Alligator mississippiensis: one gene and its partners. The protein of the gene in region 2 interacts with the protein of the main gene of each other region in a pairwise test. Links are inferred from orthologs where the notes say so. Each region holds a gene or a part of one and is shown on either strand. Other genes may lie near its edges.

What was found.
Region 1: the proteins of CEP70 (region 2) and MFAP1 interact in binary tests that used the Homo sapiens proteins (3 or more experiments, as listed by UniProt). The two-hybrid records come from large-scale screens. The link is inferred for Alligator mississippiensis from reciprocal best matches to the Homo sapiens genes CEP70 and MFAP1.
Region 3: the proteins of CEP70 (region 2) and TEAD4 interact in a two-hybrid assay, tested with the Homo sapiens proteins (2 studies listed by BioGRID). The two-hybrid records come from large-scale screens. The link is inferred for Alligator mississippiensis from reciprocal best matches to the Homo sapiens genes CEP70 and TEAD4.
Region 4: the proteins of CEP70 (region 2) and KAT7 interact in a two-hybrid assay, tested with the Homo sapiens proteins (2 studies listed by BioGRID and IntAct). The two-hybrid records come from large-scale screens. The link is inferred for Alligator mississippiensis from reciprocal best matches to the Homo sapiens genes CEP70 and KAT7.

The regions. Positions count from the first base shown.
Region 1 is NC_081834.1:741,844-749,552, forward strand, and holds the start of MFAP1 (microfibrillar-associated protein 1), read right to left. Parts: upstream 3,012-7,709; 5' UTR 2,897-3,011; coding exon 2,818-2,896; intron 2,709-2,817; coding exon 2,489-2,708; intron 1,093-2,488; coding exon 963-1,092; intron 581-962; coding exon 393-580; intron 1-392. Other genes in the region: furin, read left to right, coding at 7,060-7,239. UniProt on the Homo sapiens protein: Involved in pre-mRNA splicing as a component of the spliceosome.
Region 2 is NC_081827.1:243,542,513-243,549,391, reverse strand, and holds the start of CEP70 (centrosomal protein of 70 kDa), read left to right. Parts: upstream 1-3,868; 5' UTR 3,869-4,039; coding exon 4,040-4,145; exon of another isoform or gene 4,146-4,170; intron 4,171-4,211; exon of another isoform or gene 4,212-4,667; coding exon 4,668-4,747; exon of another isoform or gene 4,748-4,768; intron 4,769-6,678; coding exon 6,679-6,792; intron 6,793-6,879. Other genes in the region: FAIM (fas apoptotic inhibitory molecule 1), read right to left, coding at 3,408-3,694.
Region 3 is NC_081827.1:143,817,572-143,824,866, forward strand, and holds the start of TEAD4 (transcriptional enhancer factor TEF-3), read right to left. Parts: upstream 3,007-7,295; coding exon 2,736-3,006; intron 1-2,735. UniProt on the Homo sapiens protein: Transcription factor which plays a key role in the Hippo signaling pathway, a pathway involved in organ size control and tumor suppression by restricting proliferation and promoting apoptosis.
Region 4 is NC_081827.1:169,198,499-169,205,522, reverse strand, and holds the start of KAT7 (histone acetyltransferase KAT7), read right to left. Parts: upstream 3,009-7,024; 5' UTR 2,725-3,008; coding exon 2,710-2,724; intron 1,497-2,709; coding exon 1,349-1,496; intron 1-1,348. UniProt on the Homo sapiens protein: Catalytic subunit of histone acetyltransferase HBO1 complexes, which specifically mediate acetylation of histone H3 at 'Lys-14' (H3K14ac), thereby regulating various processes, such as gene transcription, protein ubiquitination, immune regulation, stem cell pluripotent and self-renewal maintenance and embryonic development.

The DNA of each region.
Region 1 (7,709 bases), on a different chromosome or scaffold from region 2:
CCATGGCGGTGAGGTCACCCCTCTGGGTTGGCTCTAGGCAGACCTGCTTTGTTACTTCCCCACCCAGGCTGTTCAGGATTGGGGGGGCAGGGGAGGAAGGGGGTGATAGTAGCTGATGAGCTGGCTGCAGCATGGCAAGGCTGTCTGGAGCCTTACTGCTCCATGCTCATCCCCTGGGGACCAGAGCTGCAACATGCCAGGCCTGGCACCCAACCTGGGGCTGGAACCCAAGGGGCCATTAGTTGGTTCTCCAGCTCAGGCACCTGTTGCCACTGCTCTGTGGTAGGAAGAGCCACTGCTTCCTCACGCAGAGGTTGAACAGTGGCCCAGGCTGGCGTTCTGCCCTCCACAAGCTGCCAGAGCCTCCCCGGGCAGGCAGCTGTGGCACATACTTGCGGATAAAGACGGGCTTGAGGCGCGGCTCCATCTCGTCCTCGCTGTCTGTGTACTCCTCGTACTCAGACTCCGACTCCGACTCCTCCCCAGACCGGCCCTCATCCTCCAGCTCCATCACCTCCATCTCCTCGTTCTTCCTCTCCTGGGCTCGCTGGCGCATCATCCCGCGGCGACGCTCAATCTCCTGACAGAGCCCACCCCAGACCAAGGTGTCAGGGCCACCACCCTTCCACCTCCTCTGTTCTTCTGCCTCCAGAGCTTCCCCACCCCAAGCAGGGACCAGTGGTCAAGTCCCTTCCAGCTCTGTCACATCACAGACAAAGTTTGTGGCATGTGTTGGACTAACAAAAGCTTCTGTCCTGCTGCCCCCTCCCAGCTGCAGTGAGGACTGGAAGGAGCCTGTCGCCCAAAAGGTCAGTCCGAGCCGCCTACACAGTGACACCCAGCCTCCGCGGCCTTGTCCAGTTCTGCCAGCAGCAGCCTCTGTCCCACCCGGCTGGGAGGCCCGGAGGCACCAGTACCTCCGGCAGCACACTTGCAACCAGCTGCTGCGCCCCTGCACGTACCTCATCGTCGATCTCCTCCTCCTCCTCCTCGCTGCTGTCCTCCCGCTCTATGCGCCACGCCTCTCCCTCCACCTCCGAGTCGCTTTCTCCGACCACTTCTGGCTCCACAATCTTGCGGTGCCGCGCCAGCCTGTGGACAGGCCCCAGACCCAGCACCTCAGTCACCTTGTACCAACGCCCCACAAACCTGCCCCAAGCCTCACCCCAACCTTCCTAATCTACTGTTGTGACTCCACCGGTTACCAGGAGGATGGATCTGGGCCCCGCTCTTCCTTAGTGCCACAGATCAGGCACCTGCATGCGAATCTTACGCAACTAAGACACCACGTGTTTCAATACAGACAAGTGCAGGGTGCTGCACTTGGGCAGTAGTAACCGGCAGCACACTTATAAGATGGGAAACTCCCTTCTTGAGAGCACAGAGGCAGAAAGGGATCTTGGAGTCATCGTTGACTCCAAGATGAACATGGGCCGACAATGCAAGGTCACGGTCAGCAGCGCTAACATGCATCCACAGGTGCATCTCAAGCAGGTCCAAGGAGGTGATCCTCCTCATCTACGTGACACTGATCAGGCCGCAGTTGGAGTACTGTGTCCAGTTCTGGGTGCCGCACATCAGAAGGGATGTGGCCAGCATGGAGAGGGTCCAGAGGAGGCCACCAGCATGATCAGGGGGCAGCAGGGCAGACCCTACGAGGAGAGGCGACGGGACCTGAACCTGTTCAGCCTCTGCAAGAGAAGGCTGAGGGGGGACCTGGTGACTGTCTATAAACTCACTAGGGGGGACCAGAAGGGTTTGGGGGAGACCTTGTTTCCCCTAGCGCCCCCCGGGATAACAAGGAATAACGGCCACGAGTTGTTGGAGAGTAGGTTTAGATTAGACGTCCGTAGGAACTACTTCACAGTCAGGGCGGCTAGGATCTGGAACCGACTTCCAAGGGAAGTGGTGCTGGCTCCTACCCTGGGGGGCTTTAAGAAGCAGCTTGATGTCCACCTGGCTGGGGTCACTTGAGCCCAGCTTCCCTCCTGCCCAGGCAGGGGTCGGACCTGAAGATCTACAAGGTCCCTTCCGACCCGAGTTTTACGAGTCTATGAAGCGTGACAGCCCTGAGTGCCATCAGGCAACGCAGCCTGTGCTGAAGCACAAGCCGCAGCCGACCCCTCGACAGCTTGGGCACTCCCTCGCAAGGCAGCAGGAACCCATTTTTTGTGAACCCCGTTGAGCACCGAGCCGCCGGCCTGCCCGGGAGGAGGCCGCCCCTCCCCTGTGCCACGAGCACAGCCTCCGCGGGGAGCCTGCTCCTCGCTTGCTGAGCAACGCCGCGGCAGCCCGTGGCCTCGCGCAGCACCTCGCTCCTGGGACTTCGGTCAAATAGAAACGCGCTCGTGACGGGCGGCTCTCTCGCCGTAGAAGCACGGCCGGGGGCTGGGGGCGATGGGGGGGCCGCACTGTTACCGAGCGCTTCTGGCGACTCGCTGCCCCAGACGCTCGGCCCGGCTCCCGGGGACCTCGGGGCAGGGCTCACCGCTCCTCCACGTCCTCGCTGATGCGGTTCTGCAGGCGCCGCAGCCGGGGGTCGCTGGCGAAGTCGTCCTCCTGCTCCTCGGGCTCCACCTCCTGCTCCTTCGCCTTCTTGATGAACTGGAACTCCTCGTCCTCCTCGTCCGACGACTCCATGGGCGCGTAGTCCGGCCGCTTGCCCGACACGTAGCGCTTCACCTTCACCTTCTCCATCGAGATCTCGCCTGCGGGCAGGGGCCGGGTGAGCGCCGGGCCCGGGGCCTGGGCCTGCCCCGGCCTCCCTCCTCTCACCCCCGCCCCCCGGCCCGGCCCGCGATACCGCCCCCCCCTCACCCTTCTCGTTGCGGACGGGCACGGCGCCCGCCGTGGACTGGATCGGCGGCTGCTTCATCAGGGCGCTGGGGACCGACATGGCGGCGGCGGCTGCTCCGGGCCCGGCCGGGACCCACCGACAGCGAGACCGAGACCGAGACCCGCTCCCGTCCGCCGGAACCGGAAGCTGGGGACAGCGGAGAAGCCAAGGCGGAAGTCAACTCCGACGGCACTTGAACCCTCACCCCGGAACCGGAAGAGGGCAGCGGTCCCCTCCCACCTGACCGGAAGTGGGGGCTCTGGTCAAAGGAGGGGATAGAGTTTGCGGAAGTGGGAGAGAGTGGCCTGGTGGGGTCGGTCCCGGGGCTGGGGTGGTGCTTGTGCCAAGGCAGGTGGGCGGCTTCTCCCGCCCCGCCCCGCCCCGCGAGCGGCCCTGCCCGTGCCCTGCCCCGTGCCCTGGGCCAGGCGGGCGTAGCCTCTGGCCGCCCCCGGCCCGCAGCGGGTGACCCAGTTTCGGGCAGGCGAGGAGGTTTCTGTGCAAGGCACCAGGTGTCAACCGCAGCCGGTTGCGCGCAAGGCAGGAAACCAGGCCGGGCGCTTCCCGACAGTGCGGGGGAGGAGCCTGGCACCGGGGCACGGGCCGGGGCTGCGTCATGGGCCGCGAGCCCCGTCCCGCTCCTGCCCTTCTTGGAAGAGAGGAAGAGGCCTCTGCTTCCCGGCAGGGCAGGGGTGGCGGTCCTGCCCCGCGCCCGCAGGACGCTGGAAGGGCCCCGCCGTGTCACGGCAGCCGGCGGCAGAAACGCGCGCCAAGTCCCTGCTAGAGCGCGCGTGGGCCTGTCCTCAGTGTGGACAGGGCACTGCTGGGGACGCTCGCAGCACCGGGCCTGGTCGGCACTGTGGAGCAAGCACGGGCTGCTGGGCCCCGGCACTGCTGGGGAAGCCCGCAGCGTTGGGCCTGCCTGGCGCTGCCAGCGCCGCCTTGGCCCCGGCGTGAGCGGCCTTGTCGCTCGGGGTTCCCGGGCAGAGCGGGCGCCGGGCGCAGCAGGGGCGGGCGAGCGAGCCGGCGATGGCGGACGTGCAGGAGCCGACGCCGAGGCTCGCGTGGCCCCTGCGAGCCCGGGGCCTGGGCCCGGCACGCGGAGCAGCTGCGGGGCTGGGGCTGGGGCAGGGGCAGGTGCGCGGCGCCGTCGCAGCCTGGCGCGCGGCCAGGGCCCTGCATGCCTGCCCGGGGAGATCCTGTTTCACAGGCAGCTGCCGGCACTTGCGGCTCGTCCTTTGTGAGCGCGTCCCTGCTGGGGCGGGAGAGCGGTGCCGGGGGCTGCCCTCGGCACGGGGGGAGCAGGGCCCTGGTGCCAGGGCCAGGGCCAGGGCCACCTGGAGGGGAGCCTGGCAGGCGGGCAGCGCCTGGGCGTATGGCCTGCCGTGGGGTCCACGTACCCGCGAGGCAAAGCTCCCCGGGGGCAGGGGCTTGGCTCACGGAGGCCTCGAGGGCAAGTCGCTGGTGGCAGGGTCTGGCGTGGCCCGGCTCGGCCACAAGAAACCCCGCTGTGGAGCAGGCCCCCGGGAAGGGAGGGAGCGCGGAGCCCGCTGCCGCTCCCGCGCTAATTGGCCGTGGCGGCTGGGCGCGCCCTGCTGCGCTCCTGGCGCGGCTCCGAGCAAACCTGCGCGTTGCACAACGCAGCCGTGCTGCGCTGCTTCAGGAGCAAGACGCGCTCCTGCCTGCAGGGCCTGGGCAGAGCCGGTCCTGCAGGTCGCAGCCTGAGCAGGGCGTGAGCTGGCTTAGCTGCGGGGCCACGGCCAAGGCTGCTGTGGGCTCCCCCGGCAGTGCCCGCCAGGATCGAGTGCTGCGAGCTCCTGTGTGTGCCGGCTGGTGCCAGCACCGAGCGCGTGGGGGTGCGGGCACGCGGGGATGCCATCAGCTAGCTGTTTCCCAATCTCTGGCTGCAGAGGAGCGCTGCTCGGGGGCACCTGGTCCTGGCGCTCGCAGCCCCTGTTGCTCCCACCCATCGAGGTACGGGTCCGGCGCGGGTGCCCCAGTTCGTCCCGCTGTGGGAAGGTGGCGGCGCGGCTGCAAGGAGAGACCTGCGCCACGTGACCCCGCAGGTGAAACGATTAGACCCGCTTGGAAACCGGGCACCAGCACGTCCTGTGCTGTGCTGTGCTGTCCCGTCCCGGCAGAGCCTGGCAGCAGGCGGGGGCTGTGCTCCAGCTGGCTCCTGCCCTGGGAGCCTCGGCCTTTGCCCGGGCCCAAGAGGGGCAGCCCCGGGCGGCGCTGCGCTCTGCTCCGGGCAGGCCGGGTGGCTGCGGCCCGAGCCAAGGTGGGAATCGGGCCTTCGGGTGCCACCGGCCCAGGAGTGGCGGGCAGGTCCCTCGGGTGCGCCCCGCAGCAGGTGCCCGCGCCTCTGCCCTGCTGGGCGGGAGGCCGGGGCGCTGGGCATTGCCGCTCCGCGAGCGGCGGCCACGGCCCGTCGGCTGCAGCGGGGCCCCCGGTAGCGACCCCGGTTCAGCCTGGCGGGGGCCGGGCCGGGCCCTTGCCCTTCCCCGCTCGGCCGGGCCGAGCGGGACAAGGCGGCCTGGTGGCGGCCCTGGGCGCGCGGCGGGCAGCGGGCAGCGCCACGTGTGCCCGGGGCCCGGCTCGGCTCGGCTCCCGCCGCTGCCCTTGGCCTGGCCGGGCCCGCGGCTCCTCCCCGCCGCCGGCGCCGCCCCGCGGGAGGAGCGCCCGGGCCGGGCAGGAGGCGGCATCCGGCGGCGCCGGGGCAGGCCGGGCCGGGCCGGGCCGGGCGGGGCGGTGCTGACAGCCGGGTCGTGCCCGGCCCCGTCCCCGTCCCCCGCGCTGGGCCGGGCCGGGCGGGGCGGTGCCGCCCAGCATAAAGGGGCCGCGGCCGCGCACGGGCACCGAGCCGGGCCGGGGAGCGGAGCGGAGGTGAGCGCCGGGGCCGGGCCGGGCCGAGGCGAGGCGGCGGGAGGCGGCCGTGCTGGTGCGCGGGCCCCGGGACAGGCTGGGCCGGGGAGCTGCGGGCGGGCGGTGACAGCGTGTGTCGGGCCCGTGCCCGGGTCCGCCCGGCCCGCTCTGCCGCCGCGCCCGCGGAGGGGGCGAGGGCCCTGCGGACCGGCGCTGCCCGGGGCCCCGGCCGGCCAGGCGCGCCGCGCCGCGCCGCGCCCGGGACGAGGGGGAGGCGGGCGGGCGGGCGGGCGGTGAGTCACCGGGTGTCACCGCGGCGCCGTCTCGGCCGGCCGGCCGGCCGGGCGGGGGGGGCCGGGGCCGGGCCGCACGTCCTCTTGCCGGGTGCTCGGCGCGGGCGCGGGGCTGGAGACCCCCGTGCGGCCGCACCAGGGCTCTGCGGCCCGGCCTCCCCGGGGTAGCCGGAGCGCCGTGCCCAGAGCCGGGCGGGAGGCCTGCAAGCCCCCGGAGGGTCTGCGAGTGCCACGGCTTCCACCAGCGGCTGTCTGGAGGCCCGAGCCGGAGCCAGCCTGAGCTGCTGCGCTGCCCCCCTCCGCGGGCGGGGCCGGGGCCGGGGGTGCTGTGGGGTGGTGTGTGCTGGGCTGGGGGGCACGCAGATGCACCCGCACCGGTCGCCCTTGCCCTGGGGCCGCGGGGCTGCGCTCCCATTGCTGCGGGGGTTGCGACGTGTCGGTCCCTGCTCCCCAGCCGCGGGGCTGGCCCAGGTGACTTCCCGGCTCCGGCCACATCCCTGCTCTGTTTGTACACGCGCGTGTCAGCACACATTGGCCAACAGGCAGGGTAAACAGCGCGCTGTGCTCCAGCACCCGGGCCTCTCGCCAGCCACCGCCTCCACCTCGCGCTCCCAAGCCCGGCAGCAGCTGCCTGGGTCAGCGCCTGCAGAGGAGGCTGCCGGGGGCCCTGCTGCGCGGGGGGCGCGGAGGTGGCGCAGATCGAGCGCTCCCTCTGCCTGCGGAGACCCCCACGGGCCTGGCTTGGGCTGACCTGCGCCTGCATGCTCCTGGCAGCGCCATTGGTCCACCACGCGGCAGGGAGCGGGGAGAGGCAGCCCACGTGCTCCCGGGCGTGTCTAACCACTACTCCTCCTGCCCCCAGGTCGTGGTGCCAAGGTCTGTCCCTGCCATCCGGCTGCTGCCGTCTTTGCCGCTGGGCCCGGCTGCCGCCCGGACGTGAGCCCCATGATCCCTCGGACCGCGGGGAGGCCGGCCAGGCAGAGCAGGCACCTGGGCATGCAGCGGCTGTGAGCAGAAGCGCCGTCGCTGGACCCCCTGCTCCCGGCGCTCGGCCACCCCGGCGCGCTCATGGATCTGTGGCCCCGCGTGCTGCTCCTGCTCTGGACACTGGTGACGGCCCTGGTGCTGCTGGCCCAGGAGGTGCTCGTGCAGCGCGTCTACACCAACACCTGGGCAGTGCGGGTGCCGGCAGGGCCGCGAGAGGCTGACAGGCTGGCCAGGAAGCATGGATTCCTCAACCTGGGGCCGGTGAGTCTCCTCCCAGCCCGCCGGGGGCCCTGCCTTCTCCCCTCACAGCCTGGGCGCTCTGCTGCCTCTGCCCGGCCCCGGGGCCCCTGCGGGAGCTGCTGTCCCTGACGGCAAGGCCAGGCGTGTCTGCCGAGGCCAGGGGCGGGCACCTGGGTCACCCGTTCTGCGCCCCCGCCGTGTGTGCTATTGACTTGTGGCCTGATGGGCATGGGGTGAGCGGGGCCTGTGCCGTGTCGCCCAGGGCCCTGGCAGGGGCTGTCTGCCCTGGGGGACCAGGTGGCTTGGGAGTGGGGGTGCACGGGTCCAGTCTGCCCCGGGCAGGGGTCTCTGGCGGGGGAAGCCTGCGTGGGAGCGAGGAGGGAGCGGTGTGCGGGGCATGGCTCTGGTGCTGCCTCCTGCGGTGGGCACGCACAGCTCGCCCGGCGGGGTGGGGGCCGCACGGCGGGTGCTGAGCCCAGAGCGCGGAGCCT
Region 2 (6,879 bases):
GGTGCTGACACTAACAACAGTGAATTAATATGGCAAAACAAAATATTTTGAAGGGGACAGGGTGGAGGATGCAGCCCTCCTGAAATTAAAGCCCCTCCTCCACTCATTCCATAGCTGGAGCAAGCTAAGTGCAAGGCAGAAAAAGCTATCTTTTCACCTCTAAACAAAAGTACTCAAAGAAATAAGCTCTGAATGGTGTTTACCACACACTAATCTTACTAAGCTGCTGTGATACTCATCAATAATCACATTAACCTGATCAAGCAAGCAAGCGGGGCAAAAAAAAAAATAAAATCTACATTTGATCATGCATACATTGCTGCTAATATAAAAAAAATAGAAAGTCAAAGACTGCAATTACCTGGTTCTAATACAGTATTTGTCAACCCATGGGTCAGGACCCAAAAGTGGGTCGCAAGAAAATTTCAAAGGGTCACAAGCTGTGGCAGGGCAAAGGGGCAACAGGAAGGTGCCTACCCCTTCCAATGGGGGAAGGGGGTCGGGGAGAGCTGCACGGCTAAGCCGGAAGCAGCAGAGCTGGTGCCTATACTCACAGGGGCAGGGCAGCTGGAAGACACAGGGGTGGGGGAAGGAAGTGGCCATGATCAGACTGCCTGGTGTGGTGCAGCAGTCCCAGTCTAGGGCAGGTGGTACCGTCAGTCCATGCCAGGGCCGGACTCACTCTGCTGCTACCCGCATGAGCCAGGGTTGCCACAGACACCATGCTCTGGCCCGAGGGGGACTGGGGGGCAGCCAGGGTCCCTCCAGCAGGGCTGTGGGGGCAGGGGCTGTGGGTCAGGAGTGAGGGACACCAGCATGGCTGGGGGGGGGGAAGATGGGGGACGATGGGGACAGACGGGACAGGAAAATGGGGGTCAGGCACCAGCAGGGCCAGGAGGTATGGGTTGGGACAGGCTACAGATCTTGGCAAATGGGCCCTGGTAGAAAAAAGGTTGAGAACCACTGCTCTAAGAGACTGCTGATCTGCTCTTTCATCTTCAAGGTGTCTAACGATAAACAGCCTTCTCTTAAAAATGTTATAACGAAACAGGTAGCTCCTAGGGAACAAATTAGTGCACTCGTTATAAAAGATGGGACCAAACTCCCAGGGTTTGTGCATCATTCTTTTAAGCATATGATTACAAGTAATGGCTGACAAAAAGGAACTACAAATTCTTATCTATGCAGTCTAGCATACTCATCTACAGTTTTGTTTACAAAATAGCTATAATTTACTGTAGTTTAATTCATCTGCATTTTTGGTATAGAAGTACTATTTTTGCTAGAAGTTACCCAAACTCAGGCAGAAGACAGTTCCAGGGTCCCTACTCAGCAAAGAACTTAAGCATGCAGGTAGCTTTCAATAGGCTGCAAAGAGACTTAAGGATTTGCTTAACAGTAAGTAAATACCATGACCATGGAACATGGTTTTCCTACTGGTAGGGGAAAACCATGAATGTGGTGGGGGGGTAGTACCCTGACCGAGGTAATCCATAATTATTCTCCAACTTTCACTTCCAGTGGCAGGATCTTGGCTATACGCTGACTTTATAGAAATGGGAGACTCCTCCCTAGCTTGCTCCTGCAGCCGTACAGTTGAGGGCAAGCGAAACTCTGGGGCATCTGAACCCCAAGCCTCCAGGCTTGGACCTGCACATGGGATGCCTGCCAAAGAATATGGAGGCGTCTGAAGCCCCAGACAGGGGTGGAGGATACTAGCCGGCAGCAGGGCCACATATACATGGATTTGGAACTGATTTGGCCGATTTGACTTGGGACACGAAAAATTTTCCTTAAAAAAAAAAAATTAAACAGTGCTTAACAATAAGCACAAGCTAAGATTCTAGTGCTGATCATGGCCTACACACATATGTAAAGAAGTATAATGCAAAATACCAGAAGAAATACAAAGGTCCTGTTATGTTATTTTAAAATATCCATAGAGAGGACTCATTCCTGCTTTAAATATGCAGTTCTCATCAGCTACCAGAAGAGGTTAGCAAAATGAGATTTAGGTGTTGTTTTTTTTTTATTTATGAAAATTTGGCCTTTAAATTATTTTTATTCTTTAGAGCCCCAAGGAAATAAAAAAATGGCAACAGAAGCACAGGCTTGAGCCTTAAGTAGAAGAGAAGGTAACATCCGAAGCATTTTGGCAGTCTAATCACAGAGATCACATGAGCTGCCACTAGTAAGCCACCTGGTCATGACAAATACAGAAATTTCTAGCTGATGCCGGACATTTTAGGAGCAGAAGGAAGTATCATCCAAGGAAAACTATACAACATTTTAGTTGGTTTTCGGTGGAAGGGTTTGTGTTGAAAGCAAAAGCAAGAATCTTTCAAATACTTAATGTGCCTTACCTTTCAGGTAAGCCTGCATGTAAGTGCTTGTGGAGCTGGGGATTAGTACGTTTTTTTCCCCCCAGAAGTAGAAAAACATGGGAACCACCACACCGTACTTGGCTCCACATGGCCTACCTGTCTCTAAGGCAATGACCAGCTACAAATACTTTGGAGGAAGGTGCACAAACACAACACTACTAAGATGGGGAATAAGTGGCTTCCCACTGAGGTCTCAACCTGGTCTCTAATAGTTATGTTACAGTAGCTCCTAGGAGACCTCGGCAGGGACTCAATCCAATCGGGGAAGGTATTGTGCAAAACAAAACTAAGAAAGTCACCGCTCCAAAATGCTTAGTGTAAGTCTTGCAGTACAAATAATGAATTGTAACAAGTCTTGACAATCCAGTCCGTTTGTAAATCTTGTTCTTCTCTCCATCTTACCCAACAGCTTCCTTGTAACAAATGCCACAATTTAAATAACGTGCGAAACACCTCTTCATACCAGTTTTAAATCTCCCTCTTCAATTTCAGCGCATTTCCCTTTATTTTCGAGTCCAGACAGGGAGAAAGAAGCACAGGCTGCCCTTGTCTCAACCATTAATTATATTCTATACAGGCCGTCCTCGGACTTACAGCACCACTCAATCCTGAAAACCGTGTCTTAAGGTGAAACATTGTAATTCGCAATGCAGTTTCCCATAGGAAACAATGTTATAATTGGGGGATTGGTTTCTGAACCGATACCATCTTCCCACCAAAAATAACTCAGAAATTGTACTCAATCAATTACACATAAGTAATATAGCAACAGTGAAAGGCAATCAAGACTCGTAGTAGAGATGATCTCTTTTATTAGACCAACAAGGTTTTTTGCAAAAAAAGGAAAAGAATTTTTTTGCAAAAATCTTATTGGCCAAATAAACGAGATCACCTCGACTACGAGGCGTGATCGCCTTTTCCTCTAGACCAATACGGCTACAACCTGGATACACAGCTGCATTCGTATCATACATAGCAATCGTAAGGATTTGGAAGGACTTCTTTGAGGCGACTCGGCCGGACCTTTCCAGTCTCCTCACGAGTCTTGGCCGCAGGTTTCCTGGAGTCTCGCCTGCCTTCTTCAAAGCGCCCGAGGACGTTCGGACAGATGCTCTCCAGGCAGACGGGCGACGCCGGCGCGCCGGATCCAGCGTCGCCGAGTCGAAACCGACATCGCCAAGTCGAAACGGGGGGTGCTGGTTGATAACCGTCATCCGCACCCTTCGTCGCCACGTCCGCCTGCCTCCGAGTCCAGTCCGTCTTATTCGTCTCCCATTCCCGGGACACCAGCCTGACCTTTCCCTACCCATAGGCCACTAACGCCTGACGGGCCCCCCCCTGCAGCCCGGGGGGGCACCGCAACCGCAACCTGCCCGCTGTCTGCACTGAAACCAGCGCTGTGGGGGGCAGGAGGAATTTTTATACGCCTGGTTTGACTGGGAATTTTTTTTTGCGGGGGGGGGGGGGAAGAGCCTGCCTTCCTGTGCAGCAACTGGCCTCTCTCTACTCCTACCTCGGCTCCTCCGCTCCCGCAATGGCAGCGCCTGCACCGGCCCGAGCGGGCCCCGCGGCGCCGCCGCCTCCTCCGAGCCGCGGGGCTGCGTGACTGCGCGCGCAGCGCCGGAAGCCGGAAGCCAACTCCTTCGGAGCGGCGGATGAGGGGCTGTGCAGAAAGCTCGCAAGCCGGAAGACGGTTCCTTCCGGGGCGGGGCCACAACAGGAAGTCAGAGGACAGGAAGCCGGAAGCTGGATTCCTTTCGGGTGGGGTTATCGGCGGCGGGTGAGGGTGAGGGGTTTAAGGTCTCCTACTAGACCGGGGTTGAGGCCTTCCCGGTCGGGGCCAGCCCTGGTTTTCCCCCAGGACCTTGGAGGGCCCCCCAGCTGCTGAGCTGCCTCCCCCACCCTCTGGCTGCTCTCTGGTTTCCTCACGGCCCAAAGAAACCCAGCGCCATCAAAGAGGCATTTCCTGGGCATCCTCTGCCGAGCTACCCAGTGCCCCGCTGCAGGGTGGTCCTGAAACGCCCCCCCGTCCCGCCGCTGACCCTTGGGGTCGCGCTAGAAAATCTGTGCAGATATTTGTCATTTAAAAAAAAAAAATCTGGGTCTTCAGGGATATTAAATTCTCGTTGGCAGCCCAACCGCGACCTTCCCGGCATGGACCGCGGCTCTGATAATTTTTTTAGTTGGCCCTTGCAAAATATCGTTCCGCAGCAGATGTCGGTGTCGCTGTCCTGGGCTTGTTTTCGGACTCATTGGTTTTCTCCTTCCTGATTTTTTTTTAAGCAGCGTCACGAAGGAGAGCCGCGGGATGCGACAGCCGGTCCCTGAGCGCCGCGACACGGGAGCTGCTTGTTATGGCTGAGGTAGAGCAATGAAGCTAAGCGGTGTGTTGCGTGTACAGCGTAGTTTCTTATAGTTTTGTCGTTTCTAGGGTCGGACGGGACCTGAACAGATCATCAAGCCCGACCCCCTACCCCGGGCAGGAACGAGTGCCGGGATCGTAGTACCTCAGCCAGATATCTGTCCAAACTCCTCTTGAAAACCCCCAAGCAGATTAAGTGAAGGTTACCTACCGGATGCTTTGTATTAAAAAACATTTCTAATGTTGGTGGCCCACTGTTCGATGTGCAATAATTATTTTGCAAACAAATGAACACCAACAAAAAAAAAGAGATCTTCAAAGAAGCAAGACTCCGCCACGCACACCAGATCATGGTCCCCTACTAGTTGTTCTGCCTTCCCCCAAAAAAGGGTATTCATAGATTTCATTGATTTGAGAGTCAGAAGGGACCTATTAGATCATCGAGTCTGACCCGAATTGAATTACCAACTGCTATGTTTGTAATATAAAAAGGCTAACCATTCTCCAACATAAATTTCCTCTTTATCCACTATGCTCATTCAAATCCTTGATGGGGATCGTAGGCAGACAAGGTTCCTTGGGTGAATTTGATATCTTTTATTAGACCAACCCAAATGGTTGGAGAATAGTTATTAAGTAAGCTTTTGGGTTCAAAACCCCTTCATCAGGCTAAGGAAGCTTCAGCAGTTGGTGTGTGCTCTGATGGGAATCGTGACTTTCAAAAGCATTTCGAGTGTCTAATGACTTTACTTCTGAAAGATCAGACCCTGTATCACTATGTGTAACTGCAAGAAATAAGTACAGGTCAGTCGCATCTTACGCAGGGGTTACGTTAAAGTCGGTGCGTAAGGCGAAAATCGTGTATAGTGAAATCGCATATTACCATGCCAGCAGTGACTGCCTCTGCCTCCAAAACCTCCCGCCGCCGCTGCGGAGCCGTGCTTAGAGCTGTGTGGCTGGCGGCGGCAGTGCAGGGTGGGGATGGCTGCGTGCCGCCCGGGCACCACCATGCTGCTGCTCCCACCCGGCGGCCAGCCACAGCTCCGGGCACACATGCAAACTCGAGCCCTGCCCCCCCTCCCACCCCACGTATAGTTGAATTCGCGCAAGTTAAATGTGTGTATGATGCGACTGACCTGTATGGTGTTTTGATGCATTAGAATTGAATGTAGGTAAATGTTGATCGTAGGAAAGAAGAGGGAAAAAAATAGTACATTGATAGAAATACTCTTCCCCTCTTGCTTTTGTTATGAGGTTACTCATATTTTCAATATTTATTGTTAAATTTAAAGTGCCAGACTTAAACCTATTTTGAATGATAGTTCTGGAAAAATATTCAGAAATAGGGGCAAAAGTTCGGCTCTAAATCCATAGTTAGGTATCTAATAGGATGGCCTGATATTTCTACAGTGTTGAGCAACCATCAATACCCACTCCCACCATCTTAGTTTTGGCCCTTTTATCAAGCGTTCTCTGCAGATTAAATTGTATCAATTTAAAAATTCTAGTGCAGCTCAGTGTAAGGTGGTGTCTATAAACAGTGGGATTTATCATGCAGTTCACATCAGGTGTTTTGGTCTGAATTTTTATGTGATTGGAAATAGAGACGGTTTCCTTTTTGTCTGACTTGATACCTGCAAGGGACCTGATTTTTTAGAGAGGGGGTGCATAGGCTTTTCTGAAAGTCAGGCCTCTTCTAAGGTGTTTCAAGTCAAGCGCCGAGAAATTGAGCGCCACCAGATCATTAAACCTAGAAAATGTAGGACTTGGCTTTGGAAAGGATGAAGAATTTGACTAGTTGACAGACATCATCTCTGTGAAAGAGAACAAGTAGCTTTTATATTTTTCATATCCAAAAGAAGCTGAAACTGCTATTTTTTAATTGAGCTGTCAGTGATTCATTGATAGGACCAATTTTCCTTTTGTTCTCAGATCCCAACAAGTTGTGCTTTATCAAGTAATACTCCAGCAGGCCACAAGCTTGTGACTTCCCATCCAGCACAGAAGACTGTTGAATTAGGAAGCTGGAATATGACAGGGTGCCAGGTAGGGGTGTCTTTAGAAGTTAGATCATGTCAGTTTTGAAAAGCTTTTTGTTTGTTTGTTGTGGCACCTTGGCATGCCTTGAGATCC
Region 3 (7,295 bases), about 100 Mb from region 2:
GGTAGGTGCCAGCACCACTTCCCTTGGAAGTTGGTTCCAGATCCTAGCCGCCCTAACTGTGAAGTAGTTCCTACAGATGTCTAATCTGAACCTACTCTCCAACAACTTGTGGCCGTTATTCCTTGTTATCCCAGGGGGCGCTAGGGGAAACAAGGTCTCCCCCAAACCCTTCTGGTCCCCCCTAGTGAGTTTATAGACAGTCACAAGGTCCCCCCTCAGCCTTCTCTTGTGAAGGCTGAACAGGTTCAGGTCCCATAGCCTCTCATTGTAGGGTCTGCCCTGCTGTCCCCGGATCATGCAGGTGGCCCTCCTCTGGACCCTCTCAATGTTCATCTTGGAGTCAGTGATGACTCCAAGATCCCTTTCTGCCTCCGTGCTCTCAAGAAGGGAGTTTCCCATCTTATAAGTGTGTTGCCGGTTACTACTGCCCAAGTGCAGCACTCTGCACTTTTCTGTATTGAAATGCATCCTGCTTTTGTTAGCCCACCCTTGCGACCTATCCAGGTCTTTCTGCAGTCTTTCCCTCCATACTAGCGTGCCCACCTCACCCCAAATTTTGGTATCATCAGCAAATTTGAACAGGTTACTTTTCACCCTGTTGTCCAAATCGCTGATAAAGAAATTGAACAGTGTGGGCCCAAGGACCGAGCCCTGGGGGACTCCACTGCCCACTTTCTCCCAGGTCGAATATGACCCATCCACCACCACCCTCTGAATATGACCCTTCAGCCAATTAGCAATCCATCTGACCGTGCAGGCATCGATGCCACAGTCGCCTAGTTTTTTAATGAGCATGGGGTGGGAGACAGTGTCAAAGGCCTTGCCGAAGTCCAGAAAGACTACATCCACGGCGACACCTGCATCCAATGCTTTTGTGACCTGATCGTAAAAGACAATCAGGTTGGTCTGACATGATCTGCCCTTAATGAAACCGTGCTGGTTGACCTTGAGCATCATCCCCGATGCCGGCCCGTCACAGATGTGCTCCTTGATGATCTTCTCAAAAAGTTTCCCCAGGATTGAGGTAAGACTGACGGGCCTATAGTTGCCTGGGTCCTCCCTTTCTTAAAGATGGGGACCACATTGGCTATTTTCCAATCATCTGGCACCTGGCCTGAGCACCACGCGTGCTCGTAAAGCCGTGCCAAGGGCCCAGCAATAACCCCTGCTAGTTCCCTCAACACCCTGGGGTGGAGAGCATTTGGACCTGCTGACTTGAACACGTCCAGCCCCTCCAGAAGCACTCTAACCCGGTCCACCTCAACCTTAGGTCTTGAGGCGTTCCCCTCGAGTCTGTCTTGAAACACCGTGGGGGAGTCCCGGTCCCTGCACAAGAAAATGGAGGTGAAGAATTTGTTAAAGATGTCTGCCTTCTCCTCTGGTGCAACTATCAGATTGCCCAGCACATCTTGCAGGGGCCCCACATTTCCTGGTGCCTTCTTCATCCTCCCTATATATTTGAAAAAGGACTTCTTATTATCTTTGATCTTGGACGCTAGTCCTAGCTCTATATCTGCCTTAGCTTTCCTAACAGCCCCCCTACAGGCCCAAGCAATGGAGGTATACTCTTCTTTGGAGATAAGCCCCCCCCCCCCCCCCCTTCCACCAGGTGTACACTGCCTTTTTGGGTTTCCATGGTCCAGGGTTTCCATGGCCCTGGACAGCAAATGTTTTCACTAGCTGTTTTTGGCAAAGAGGGGTAAAGAACAATTTTAAAATGACCTTAAATCATCTTTTCCTATCACCCCTTTTGCACTTGAAGGACAAGGCCTCTCTTTATTCTTGACCTGAGGAGATTTCATGCTATGATTCATCTCAGAATCATAGCATCATAGAAAATTAGAGTTGGAAGGGACCTCAAGAGATCATCTAGTCCAACCCCCAGTGCAAAGCAGGACCAGCCCCAATTAGATCATTCCTGCCAGGACTTCGTCAAGCTGGGCCTTAAAAACCTCCAAGGATAGAGATTCTACTACCACTCTAGGTAACCTGTTCCAGTGCTTCAACACCCTCCTAGAGAGAAAGTTTTTCCTAATATCCAACCTAAACTTTCCTTGCTGTAACTTGAGACCATTGCTCCTTGTTCTGTCATCTGCCATCACTGAGAACAGTTTAGGTCTAATCTTCTTTATGTCCTGGCAGAAAGCAAATTAAAGATGAAAAAATGCATATACTCAGGCAGACAGGAGGCAAAAGACCATCATGGGGAAGTGGAGAGAGGGGAATTCATACTCAATTTATGCTAAAAAAAGTTCCCCTTTCAAGGACTATGTGACATGGGCACTAACATAGCTACCACGATCGGAGACCATCATTGAAGGTTTGAACCTAGGATCTTCAGCACCAAAACCACAGACTTCCACCACTTAAAGTTAGGGAGAACCTAACAATGACAGCATGAGCTACATTTCAAAGATAGCATGAGTGCATTCATTGAGCCACTGTATTAGACTTCACCAAAACCTTTATCAAAAACATGATAAACATGAAAAACATGATAAACATGCCGTACTTTAGTTAAAAACTTGAGGAGTCTTTTCTGAAAAAGTTTCTTTTAAATGCCACTTTGATCCACTTTTCTTATTCCTCTTTGCTTTTCTTTGCCAAACATATTTAACCTGAGCTGCTGCATCATTTGGGATCTCTCTCACAGCAGCACACATGGCAGACCTGATGGTTGACAGAGATCTTCCTTCTCCCCAGGGTGATAAAACTCCCCCAGCTGTTCTCCTTACCGTACATCTTGCCCTCATCCGACAGGATGATCTTCCGCCGCCCACATGGCGGGTAAATGGCTAGCGCTTCCTGGAAGCTCTGCTCAATGTCCGGACTCCACACACCCTCAGCATCATTGTCGATCGGCTTGTCCAAGGCCTCACTGCCCCCTGAGTCGTTGCTCCCCTCAGGGGAGGTGGGAGAACTCCACTCGTTGGAGGTAATGGTGCCAGTTAGAAACTCCAAGGCGCCACTTGGAGAAGCAGCCACCGAACCTAAAAGGGCAAACATACTCCGTCTCACTCAGTGAATCTTTTCACCATGAACGCTAACAGAGTATAAGAAAAACAGCTCAGTGTTGCCCCTGTTTTGAGACCCTGGGCTGGTCACAGGCCTTTGGCTCTTCCAGGATCAGACTGTGAAGACTGTCTTTAGTTGACACAATAAAATATGCAGAAATGCACACAAGATCTCCACCAACCAGAAGAGAACCTTCTCCTCGGCAGCAGGCTCTGCTCAGAATAGCCTTCCTGGTATTGCCTTTGTTCATTAGCTTGCCATCTACTTCCAGTTCTTATCAGAAAACACACCCACTCTCTTCCTTGCCCTTGTTCTTAATTTCTCTTTCCCTCTGCATTCATTATCTTTGTAAATGCATTATTTAACGATCCAAAGCAGGCAGGACTCAGTCAGTGTGAAAGACACTACACAACATAAAGCCGTGATGAATTATCTAGTCATCGCTCAGGACTGAGGTTGGAATTTTCTTGGGTACAGTTTCACTGGGTTGGAGCGAGTGAGTGGTGTCGTTTTTAAACACTGACTTGTCTGCTTCCCAAGAAGCGGAAGCCATTTTCCAAACAAGTTCCTTAAAAGCCTGATGGACTAGTGCAGGGGGCGGGGTACTTATTTGGGCTGGAGGACCACTTAGGGGGGTTTGGTGAGCTGTTGTGGGCCAGGTCAGCACCCCCCTTGCCCTGCAACAGCTCACCAAAACTTCTTAAGTGGCTCTGCCCTGTCCACCCGTTCCGCTCCCTGATGCTGCTCCCCACCTGTCTGTGGTCCCATCTCATCCACCTGGCTAAGTACACCCAACCCACGGCATCCTGGGCCAGTCTCCATGGAGACTCTGCCCAGCTACTCCATCTGATGCTGCCAGCGGTGGGTGCGGGGTGGACAGGCAGAGGTGCCTGGAGGTAGCAGCAGAGACTGGCAGCAGCAGCTGGAAGGAGCTGCCACTGCAGGGGCTGCCAAGAACTGAGTCCGGACGCTGTGCCATTCCAGCCCCGCTGCGCACCTGGGACAGCAGGACCAGCTTCATGTGTTACCAGCTCAGGCTACTCCCTGTACCTGGGCCAGGTGGAGCCGAAGGACCTGCCATGGGCCAGATAAGAATCCCTTGGTGGGCCAAATATGTATCATGCATTTTGTCTATATAGATCGTAAGGGCTTTGGGGCAGAGAGATGCTTCTCATTATGTATTTATGCAGCAACATACTTCTGGACATTAAAATCATGCAAATAATAACAGTCATCTTATAAACCTTTGCAATAGAGAAGACCAAACCAGCCAAACAGAGGTGGTCAAACTGGGGAGGCAGGGAGCACGTGTAGTCTGTGAAGCTCTACTTGGGGGCTCACTGAACAAGTATGTATCTCCTTCAGAGTGAATTTACTGGCTGCTGTTTTGCATTGTGAGCCACTAGAGGACTGGCGATTCACAAGCCACAGATTAGGGGCCTTTAAACTAGCTAGGCCAGGGGCAGGCAAAATACAGCCCACAGGCCAGATCTAGACTGCCAACTGATGGGATCCAGCCCGTGGCTGCCCCCGTGGTGCTCTGCATGGGGCCTAGACCCACCCACTCCCACCAGGGCAGCACACACCATACTCCAGCCTGTGCCTGCTGGCCTGAGCCCCAACCAGCGTGTGCAGCTTTCAGCGGGGCTGTTTCCATGTTCCCCTCGCCTCCAGCAAGAGCTACCTAGCTGAAGCTTCCCCTCAACCCATAGTGGTGCAACAGGTGCAGGAATGGGAAGAGAAGCTGTTGCTGGAGGCGAGGGGACCAAGGTAGCCCCTGGCTGGCTGCAGCCACATTGGAAACAGCCCTGCTGGAAGCTGCATGCACTGGCAGAGGCCTGGGCCAGCAGAGCTGATCTGCTCCCATTGCCTCCAATGGAGGCTCCTCCTGCTGGTCCATTCACTGCTGAACTATTCCAGGTGGCTGGGGAGGAAAGCTTCAGCTGGATGACTCCTGCTTCAGTGTGTGGGTCTCTAGCTCCAGCTCCACCTCCGGGCTGCCTTCTACTCACTCCACCCACCTGGCACCATAAGCAGCCATGTGCAAGTACAGAAACCTATGCAGCTGAGTGGGTGGAAGGCAGCTGGGTGCTAGAGCCAGAGCCCCATGAGCTAAGGCAGAAGCTGCCTGGCTGAAGCTTCCCCCACCCGCCAGGAGTGGTGCAGCAGGGACAGGACCAGAAGGAGAAGCCTCTATTGTGGAGCAATAGGGGTAGAATAGCTCTGTTGGCCCATGTCCTAGCCAGTGCATGCAGCTTCTAGTGGAGCAGTTCCCAATGTGGCTGCAGCCAGCCAGGGGTTACTTTGCTCCACCTGTCTCCAGCAGCTGCTCCTCCTCCCACTCCTGCCCCTGCTGTGAGACTCTGGGTGGGCAGATGGGGGGAAGCTTCAGCTGGACAACTCCCACTGGAGACAAGGGGAACCGAGCAGCACCCCGCCAGCTGCAGCCCCACTAGGAACAGCCCCACCAGAAGCTGTTCACTGGCCAGGGCTGGGACCAAGGCTGGGCTGGCTCTGGTTGCCCTGTGTGGGGCTTGGCCGCATGTGGAGCATTGCAGGGGCAGCTACAGACCTCACCACCCAGTCAAGCTCTGATGCATGTACCGCACCCTTCCCCCTTCTCCTCCCCTTCCCCCTCCCTGTCCTCAGCTCTGATTGGCTCTGAACCTAGCACCCAGGCAGCCCCCACTTTACACACATGCACACATGCCCCCCCCCCCACACACACACACAACCCACACACATCCCCATGCACACATGGCCCACCCCACCTGGGGAGGGTGTGCAGGGAGCAGATCAGCCTCACCTGCCCATCCTGCTCCCAAACATTGCCCCCCACCTGCCTAAAGCCCCATATGAAGTTTTGGTAAGTTGTTGCAGGGGTAGAGAGGTTGCTGACCTGACCTGCAAAAGCTCATCAAAACTTCCTATGTAGCCCTTGGTCCACACCCTGAGCTAGGCTGTCTGTCCTGTAATACAAAAAGAAAGTGCTAAAAAAAAAATAAAAAAAAAAATAAAAAATCCCACGTTACAAGTACAGCAAGTTGAGCAGTAGGAAAAAAAAAAAAAAAAAAAAAAATCACACAGCACAATAGATAGCTCAGAAGCACCCAGCCTCTGTTTCATGAAGAGAGGAAAGGACAGAAGAGGGCTAAGGCAAGTGGGGTTAGGAGGGGGCACCACGAGGCCCCACTTTAAGCATGAAAGACACAGAGAAGAGTGTAAAGCTCAAGGATTCTCTGCTACATAGGAAAGATACCTGGAACACATTTTATGACTTAAACTGACAGCCTAAACTTACTCTGGAACAATTTCTAAGTGTAGACTGGCAGTGAATAAATATCATACGTAGAGAGAGGGTGGAAGAGAAAGGAAAGGGGAAAGAGGGAAAAACAGAAAAGCAGGATAGAGACTGCAAAGAGGAAGCAAGGGATTAAAAAGATAAACCAGAAGCGAGGAGAGGAGGGTACAAGTAGGAGCAGGCAAGGGGAGAGAGATTAGGAAGACTAGATAGCACTATGGAGATAGTGCAGCAAAGCATGAGCAGAATCTTGCCTCACATGTGAGCTGCAAGCTCTTCAGGCCAGAAATCATCTTTCTTTAGTGATTGAGCTTTGCCTAACACAAGGGCCTTGCTTTTCATTAAGGCTCATATGCACTATCACAACACAAATAATAATGAAGGGAGAAAGAGAGGTGATGGAGAAGAAGAAATACAGGAAGACTCAGGAGAAACAAGTAATAAGCCAAGGAAAAAAAGTAAAAAAAAAGGGGAGGGGGAAAATAGTGGGAAAGGGGAAAGAAATGAAGGAGAAAAGCAGAATCAAAGAAACTACTGGGTCAAGCAATTTTAAAGGGGCAGATCACCCTCCTCCTGTCTCCAGAGTTGGTGAGGGCACCTTACCTACATTCACCACCCTCCACAGACCCAGAGAACCTTTTCTATTTCAAGGCCTGTGCTGGGAAGATAACAAGGGGCTTCCCATTGTCCAAGGGCAAAATCAGGACTCCAGTCCTGAAAATCCTGAAATTGCTTAAAGAAGTATAAATTTGGGGCCCCTGTTATTTTCCTTTCTGGTTTCCGAGTCATTCGGGTTCACGCATTCAAGCTCTTCTCTGCAACTCCGAACATTACAAGTTTTTTCTCCTTACATGAAAGCAGAGATTCTCATTAATTTATGTTATTCCTGGAGCTGAGATTTCAAGGAAAGAAAACCCCCTCACTGAATCTATTTCCCACAAGACTTTGTTTTAATCTAAAGCCACAGCAGAGATACTGG
Region 4 (7,024 bases), about 74 Mb from region 2:
AGCAGGTCTGAATGAGAATCAATACTGTTTAGACTGGCTTTGCGTGTACTACAGCTGCTTTTGGCACGTCAGTATCTGACACCCTGTATGTAGTCTTGAACTGTTACCACTTGGGAGTTGATAACAAATTATTTTAAAAAGTGCTTCTCTTTTGCTGAAAAACAGGGATGCCTCAGATGCTAATCAAAAATAACTTTATTTTCTAAAAAACTCTGGTCAAGAACTACAAGAATTTCTTACCTGGAAGAAAACTGTCTGAAAAATTCTCTTAGCAAAGCCTACAGATAAAACAAGGGAATCAGAAGATCTTACCCCTTTGTTGCCATTTCTCTTTTTAGACAAACAGATGGAATTTAATTTCTACAGTAATTACTATCAGCCAAGAAAATTTCTCAGATCAAGAAAATGAGGAGGTGGAAAAGCACAACAACCCCTCTTTAACAATCTGGATGTCAAAACGTAAAAACATGCAACATGGACTCGAATGACAATATGCTGGATACATACTGTTGTACAACAAACTCCACCGATATGAAAACATCTCATACCCATAACACAACCATCCAAATTTCATATTTGTACAGCCTAAAAGCCCTCAACTATCCACATTTTACTTTTGGTTTAGTTATTTGGGGACTTTAGTGACAAACACAGTCTATAAGAGCCAAGTGATTTTACCAGGCTACGTTTTTAGAGAAAAGGCCTAAAGGTACAGTTTTCAGGACTGGAGTTACAGTGAAGTTTTAGCAGAAAATGGACTCCAAAGCATGATTAGCTGCTCAGAGGTTTCGAAAATTAGGTTTTCAAATAAACAAGTTATTTATAAAAATAACCAAAAGGTGGCTTCAGAGATTTATCACACGTGCTTCATGCAAATATTTTGCGCTTCTGCATAACAACTGTCAACAGTCTCTAAACACTTCAAAAATTAAACATCACAAAGCCTCTATCATGTAGATAGTATTCATTATGCACTAAGGAACTCTAGTAAGAAAGCCTACAAGACCTTCTAAAGGTCTCAGAAAATGAGTAGCAAAGCTAAGCATAGAACCAATGGTTCAGTTCCCACCCCCTTTAACTACCGTAAACCAGGACACAGGAATCCTGACTTCCAACCCCAGTTTAAAATGCTAGATTATGCTGCCTAATTTAGATAATGCTTCACTGCAATGTCTTTGTACCTCACCCTAGTATTATTATACTCAACGAGAAAAAAAAAACAAACAGCAAATGAAGGTTAGCCAAATTGAAGGAACAGATTCCCTAAAATGTATTTAAGCATATCAAGCTGAGAACATAGAGACAGTTCGCCAAGTGTCATTTGGGGGATGTAGAAGAAAGGCATTACCTTGCGAGCTCTGACTCAGCCTGGCTGAGGAACGAGTCACACGGGCAGATCGCCGAGATGTGCCATCGCTTTCAGAGCTGTCTGTATGCTCAGGATCAGTAGAGAAATCGGAGTCTTCAGTGCCATCTGAACTACTGCCAGCGTTCCTCTGCAGCACCACATTAGCAAGAGAACAGTTAAGACTTCAATACTACTCCTGCTAACACAAGAACGTTTGGGGCCTGAATGTTATAGAACAGATTCAAACTTTTTGCAGGCAGATCGTTTTGGAGAAAAGCCTCCCTTCAGTATGAGAAACACAAGCTGAGGGGAAGTGGCACCAGTAACTCCAGACTTCTGCAAACTTGTCCAATACAAACAGGTTGCACCAGTGTCATTGGAAGGAAGTCTTGTGAACTGTCAAGGCACTAGTTGCCTCACTTGAAATGAAAACCTGGGACAGCCTGGGAGTAGCACCTCCCCTGGGCCTGGGAAAGCCCCGCTCTGTCCTGGCACAGACAGGCAGGTGGGTGCACCACAGTGAAGGCAAGGCAGATGCTGATCTGCAAAGAGAGGACAGGACAAGCCCAGGACTAGGAGCTGGGAACAAGTCACTGCTGCCCTTGTCCCGCTGGGGCAGGGGCCAGGCAGGCCAGAGGAGCCTGGCTGGGCTGGGACAGGGAGGGAGAGAGAAGGCTGCGGCAGCCCAGGCGACAGGGGGCGCCCTGCTGGGAGGGCGGGTGCCCTCGCCGCTTTGTTTTGCGCCCGCGGCTGTAGATCTGCCTCCCTCCCTCTACATCAACCAATCACCATCAGAGAGGGGAGGGGCCGAGAGGAATCTCCTCCAATAAGAATTCCCATAGAGGCGAGGCGCGGCTCTAAGGCGTGACTGACGGGCTGCCCCAGCCTATCAGCTAGAACCTCGCTTCCCACAGAAACATCCATTCGGGGCGGCTGGGGGAAGGGAACACAAGAAACAAGGCACGCGCGGGAGGTATTCGTGGGGGCGGGGAGTGGCAGCCGCGCCGGCCAATCAGCGCCCAGCTAGGCCATTAGGCGAAGCCAAACACACGCAGGTCCTTCGTTCTCTTGTCCAATCGGAACCGCAAGGAGGTGGAACAAGCCTCCGCCGGGGGGAGGGAGAAAGGTAACCGTTGGGGGGAGATGACTGACAGCAATGTTAGCCAATCGGGACCCAGCGAGCGCCAGCGGGAGCCATTCAGGGAGCAAGAGAGGCGGGTGCAGGGGGCTGAAGGCCGCTCTTTTCCCCCGGTTTTTGTGCCTCTGGGGGAAAGTTCGCTGGGGGCGGGAACGGGAGCAAGCCCCCGCGAGGTCCCTGCCCCCTCCCCGAGAACCTCTCCCGCCCCCGCGGCCTCCCTCACCTTCCTGCGCGGCATCCTCGGCGGGGGCGGAGCCAGCGAGGGCGCCTGGTCTCCAGCGCCTCCGGCCCGAGAAGCGGCGGCGGCCGCCGTGGTGGTGCCGGCGGGCTCCGTGGTGACAGCCGTGTCTCCTGCTCTCTGTCCCCGACAGCCAGTGGCGCGCCAGCCCGCGCTCCGCGGCCGCCAGCAACCCCCGCTCCCCGCTGGGTCCCTCACGCTTCCGCCGGGGCACGGGTCACACCCCCGTCACGTGACGCGCACTGAGCCTCACGCCAGCGGGCGCCGCCATCTTGGGCTTGGACAGGTGTCCGGCTCCACGGCAACGACGCTGCAGCGGCCATCTTGGTTCGGGGCACTGCCGTTTCCGAGGGGACGGGAGGCGGCCGTGGTTCTGAGAACGAGGCGACTGACGGGGCCTACTGAAGGCGTAGGCGGCCATCTTGGGTTCGGGCAGGATGTTGACCCGTGAGTCTGGGAGCTGTGCTGGGCGAGGGCAAGCTTAGCTTGGCTCTAGGCGGCCATCTTGTATTCTGGCGGAAGTGTTCCCCCTCCCCCATCTGGTGCCCTCCCTCAGTTAGAGGCAGTGAGCGGTTTCCTCAGGCGATTCCCTCTTCCCAGAGCAGCCAGCGGCCTGTGTGCGTGGAGGGCACCGGAACCTGCACCGAGGGGCTCGTGCGGCCTCGAAGAGCCGCGGGTGAGTGCGGGCGGTTCCCCGGGAGACGGGAAGCGGAAGGCGCTGTCCCGGCATTTTTGTGGGCAGTGCGGGCCGCGCCCTCTTGCTTCCTGATCACATGCTGCTCGGGGTAGGTGCGGGTCCCTGGCTGGAAGAGCAGCAGGGTCCCTGCTGCTGCCTTCCCCGCCGGGCGGTGAGCGGTGTGGGGCAGGGGCTGCCCAGCCTTGTCAGGTCTCTAAACATGACATTATGGTATCGGGAGCTCAAAAACGATCGTATTTGCTGAAAAATATGCGAATATATCTACAAAAGCATGCAAATAAGCCTTATTATTGACTTTATATTGTTCGTTGTAACTCACCAGTGAGTGAGTGAGAACTGGGTCATCAGAGTTGAAGTGTTTCTTTATTTTGAGGCTTGGCATTTTGGCTCAGATCAAGCAGAGACCTGTTCTTACTGCTTTTCAGCCTCTTGAAGGCTCAGATCAAGTGTAGCCTATGCTTATCTAGGAAAATTCCATGATCAACATGGTGGCTTCCTAGTCACTCCTGGGGAAAACCACTCTGCTGGCATGGGATAGTACCTGCATAGGTCATGCATAATTAACCTTGGCTTTATGCCCACTTCATGGAAATGGGGGACTCCTCCCTGGCTTGCTCCTGGGGTCTTGCAGTTGGGGGGTAGGCAAAGCTCAGGGGCATCTGAGCCCCAAGCCTCCGGGCATGGGCCTGCAAGTAGGATGCCCACCAAGGGTTTTGGGTATATGTGAAGCCCCCGGTGGGGGTGGGGGATGCTGCCAGTGGTAGGGCCACTTATGGTTTTGGACTGACTCATGGATTTGAAATTGATTTGGCCAATTTGACTGGGAATAAAGAAAATTAAAAATACAACAAAAAAAACCCCAGGGGTGTCTAAACCCCAAGATCTCTGGGCTTGGGCCTACACATAGGGTGCCTGTCACTGGGTTATCTGAAGAGCTGGGATGGAGGATACTTACCAGTGGTAGCACCACATGGACTTGAACAATTGAGTTCTGCTTGGTCAATAGGATTTGAAACCAATTTGGCTAATTTGACCTGGAACAGTAGTGACAGGGGGGCCTCCTCGGGGCCAGTCTCCACAGCCTGCCCCGTCTCTGTGGGCAACCGCCTGCTTATCTCTCCCGCCACACCTTTGATAATAATTGGTTCAATTAAGATGTCAGTTAAGCAGGAAGCTGCCTATTTGGTGCCCCAATGCCAGGGGGCACTCTCTGTGGCTCCTACCTCCCCAATACCGCAGCCCAAGCCTCGCTGATGGCATCTTGATGTTCATCTCCTCCGGCCCCCACGCTGGGGCCCCAGAATCACCCAAACAGGACCCCTCTATGATCCCTCCTGATCAGGCAGCCTCTCCGCCTTCATCCGGGCTAGAAGCCCCCCCAAAGCCATTTTCCCCTCTCAGGTGTGGTCCCCCTGGGACCTTCAGCTAACTGGCCCTGGCCCACCTCCAGGCCAGTTGGGACCCCAGGCCCCTGGCTCTTGGGCATCCCTCGCAGTGGGCCCCTGGCCCTTTTGACCATCCTGGTCCTGGCCCCAGCATGGGCCAGTCAAGGGTACTATCTCATTTGGGCCGGGTCTCTAGTCCCCCTCTCTCTCTCAAGGTCCGCCCTCTGGGCCTCACAACACTGGCACCCCCCAGGCCCCTCAAACAACACATGGGGTTACCCACTCAGTGGTGGGGGCAAGGGGTTAAGGCACCCCAACCTACCTTCCACCAGGGTGGTAACTGGCCTGGCATTTCCTGGGGGCTCCCGCACCACAGAGCCCCACCAGACCACCCACTCCCAGCAGGGTGCAACTTCAGGTCATGCCCAGGACCAGGAGCCTCCTAACCAGCCCCTCGCAGCTCCCCCTTACCTCCAGCTCATTCACAGCAGCCCTACAGCCAGGCAATGTTACTGCCTGGCCTCTAGCAGTCAAACTGCCCTGCTTATATAGGCAGCCCTTGTGTCTAAAAATGGCTGCCCTAATCAGGCACCTGGAGGCTGCTAGCTCCAGGCCCTTAAAGTGGCAGGCACACACAGTGCACTGCCACAGTAATAATAATAATAATAAAAAATCTTTGTTTTGAGGCAAAAAGTCGTAAGAAAGTGCTGACAGCAAACCCAAAAGTCAGTTAAGGCTCTCTTGAGAGTAACTTGTCTTTTGCATATGCTGCATGAATTAGCTGCCTGAAAAATGATTGTACATTTTGAACACTTTTACTGTTATTGATCATACACTGAACAAGGGTTGAAATTATTGTACAAATATGATAGTTATACACCTGGCAGCACTGGAGCTGACTGCTGGGAGACCACAGTCGGGTTCTTTCTTGGCACTTGGGAGGAAGGAGCGAGGCTATTCCCCAGGCTGCACAAGTGCCTGCCTGGTGTGGGCCATGTGTCTGCCTCCAGGCTAAGCTTTTCCTGGTCCTAAGCACGTGGCTATTTCCCTTTGCTTCTAATAGGACCCCTTTGACATCTGCAGCACTGTCTCAGTAAATACTAGGGAAAGTCCTGGATGTGCCTTTATTGTGCAGAAACAAATATAGAAAGACCATATAGCACTTTTCTGTCTTTGAAGGAAAAGTAGTGTGGGCAACCAGCAAATGTTCTGTGGACTATCTAGTAGGAGAATCGCTTCCCTGGTAGCTTAGAGCAGTGGTTCTCAACCTTTTTTGTACCAGGACCCATTTGTAAGCATCAACGGCCAGTCCCGACCCAGTGTCCCTCAGTCCTAACCCCTTGCCTCCCACCCCCAGGCTCCAACCCCCCAGTGTGTGGGGCAGGGGAGGGTGTGGAGCATGAGGGGCCCCAAGCAGCCTCTTGCAGGCTGGAACTGCATTTTTAAAGTTTGCTTGCAACCTTTTCATATAGTCTTGCCACTGACTTTTGGATCATGGTTGAAAAACATTGGCTTAGAGGATGGATAACCAGGCCGCAGATGCATTAAGCCCCCCTTTTTTAAAGTTGAGTATTCACAATAAATTAAAAAAGCAGAGTAACATGTGCAAGGCGTGAAAAGAATCAAATTTTTCCTCCAGGCTTGTGTGGTTTTCATTTTTACCCATCTGTAACAAAACTGTAATTCTTTCACACAAAAATAGGTTGTACAAACACAGGCCTCCAGTACAGTAATGAACCCAGTATTGTAGAGGCCTGTGTCTGCAGTTCTTGTTGGAGGGGTACACAAAAATAAAACTTAGGAGCCTGAGTCGCTTAAGCTGCCAAGTCCCAGTAGGAGTGAAAGTCTCCTTCCAAGCTGGTGGGAGTTGAGGACTTTAGTCTCCAGATACTGTTGACAGTCTTACCCAAAGTTACAATTTGGGTAGAGTTTTAGAGGGCGGGGAAAGGAGCCAAAATAACCTTTGTTTTGAAATACTTTTACATTTACTTCCTATTTGGATTATAGGCTTAAGTCAGTATTTTTTTTCAGGTTCTTTAGAATTAGCCTAATGGAGCATAGTACAACTGAATATTTTTAATAAGGCAAACTTTACTTTTTTTATATTCTAATGTTACAAATCCAGTGAGTGACTCTTGGAAAACTAGTGTGCCAGCCAGAAACAACGGGGGAAAAAAAGTGGCAGGTTTTTAAGTTGCAACTTTTTTCATCTTCCTTG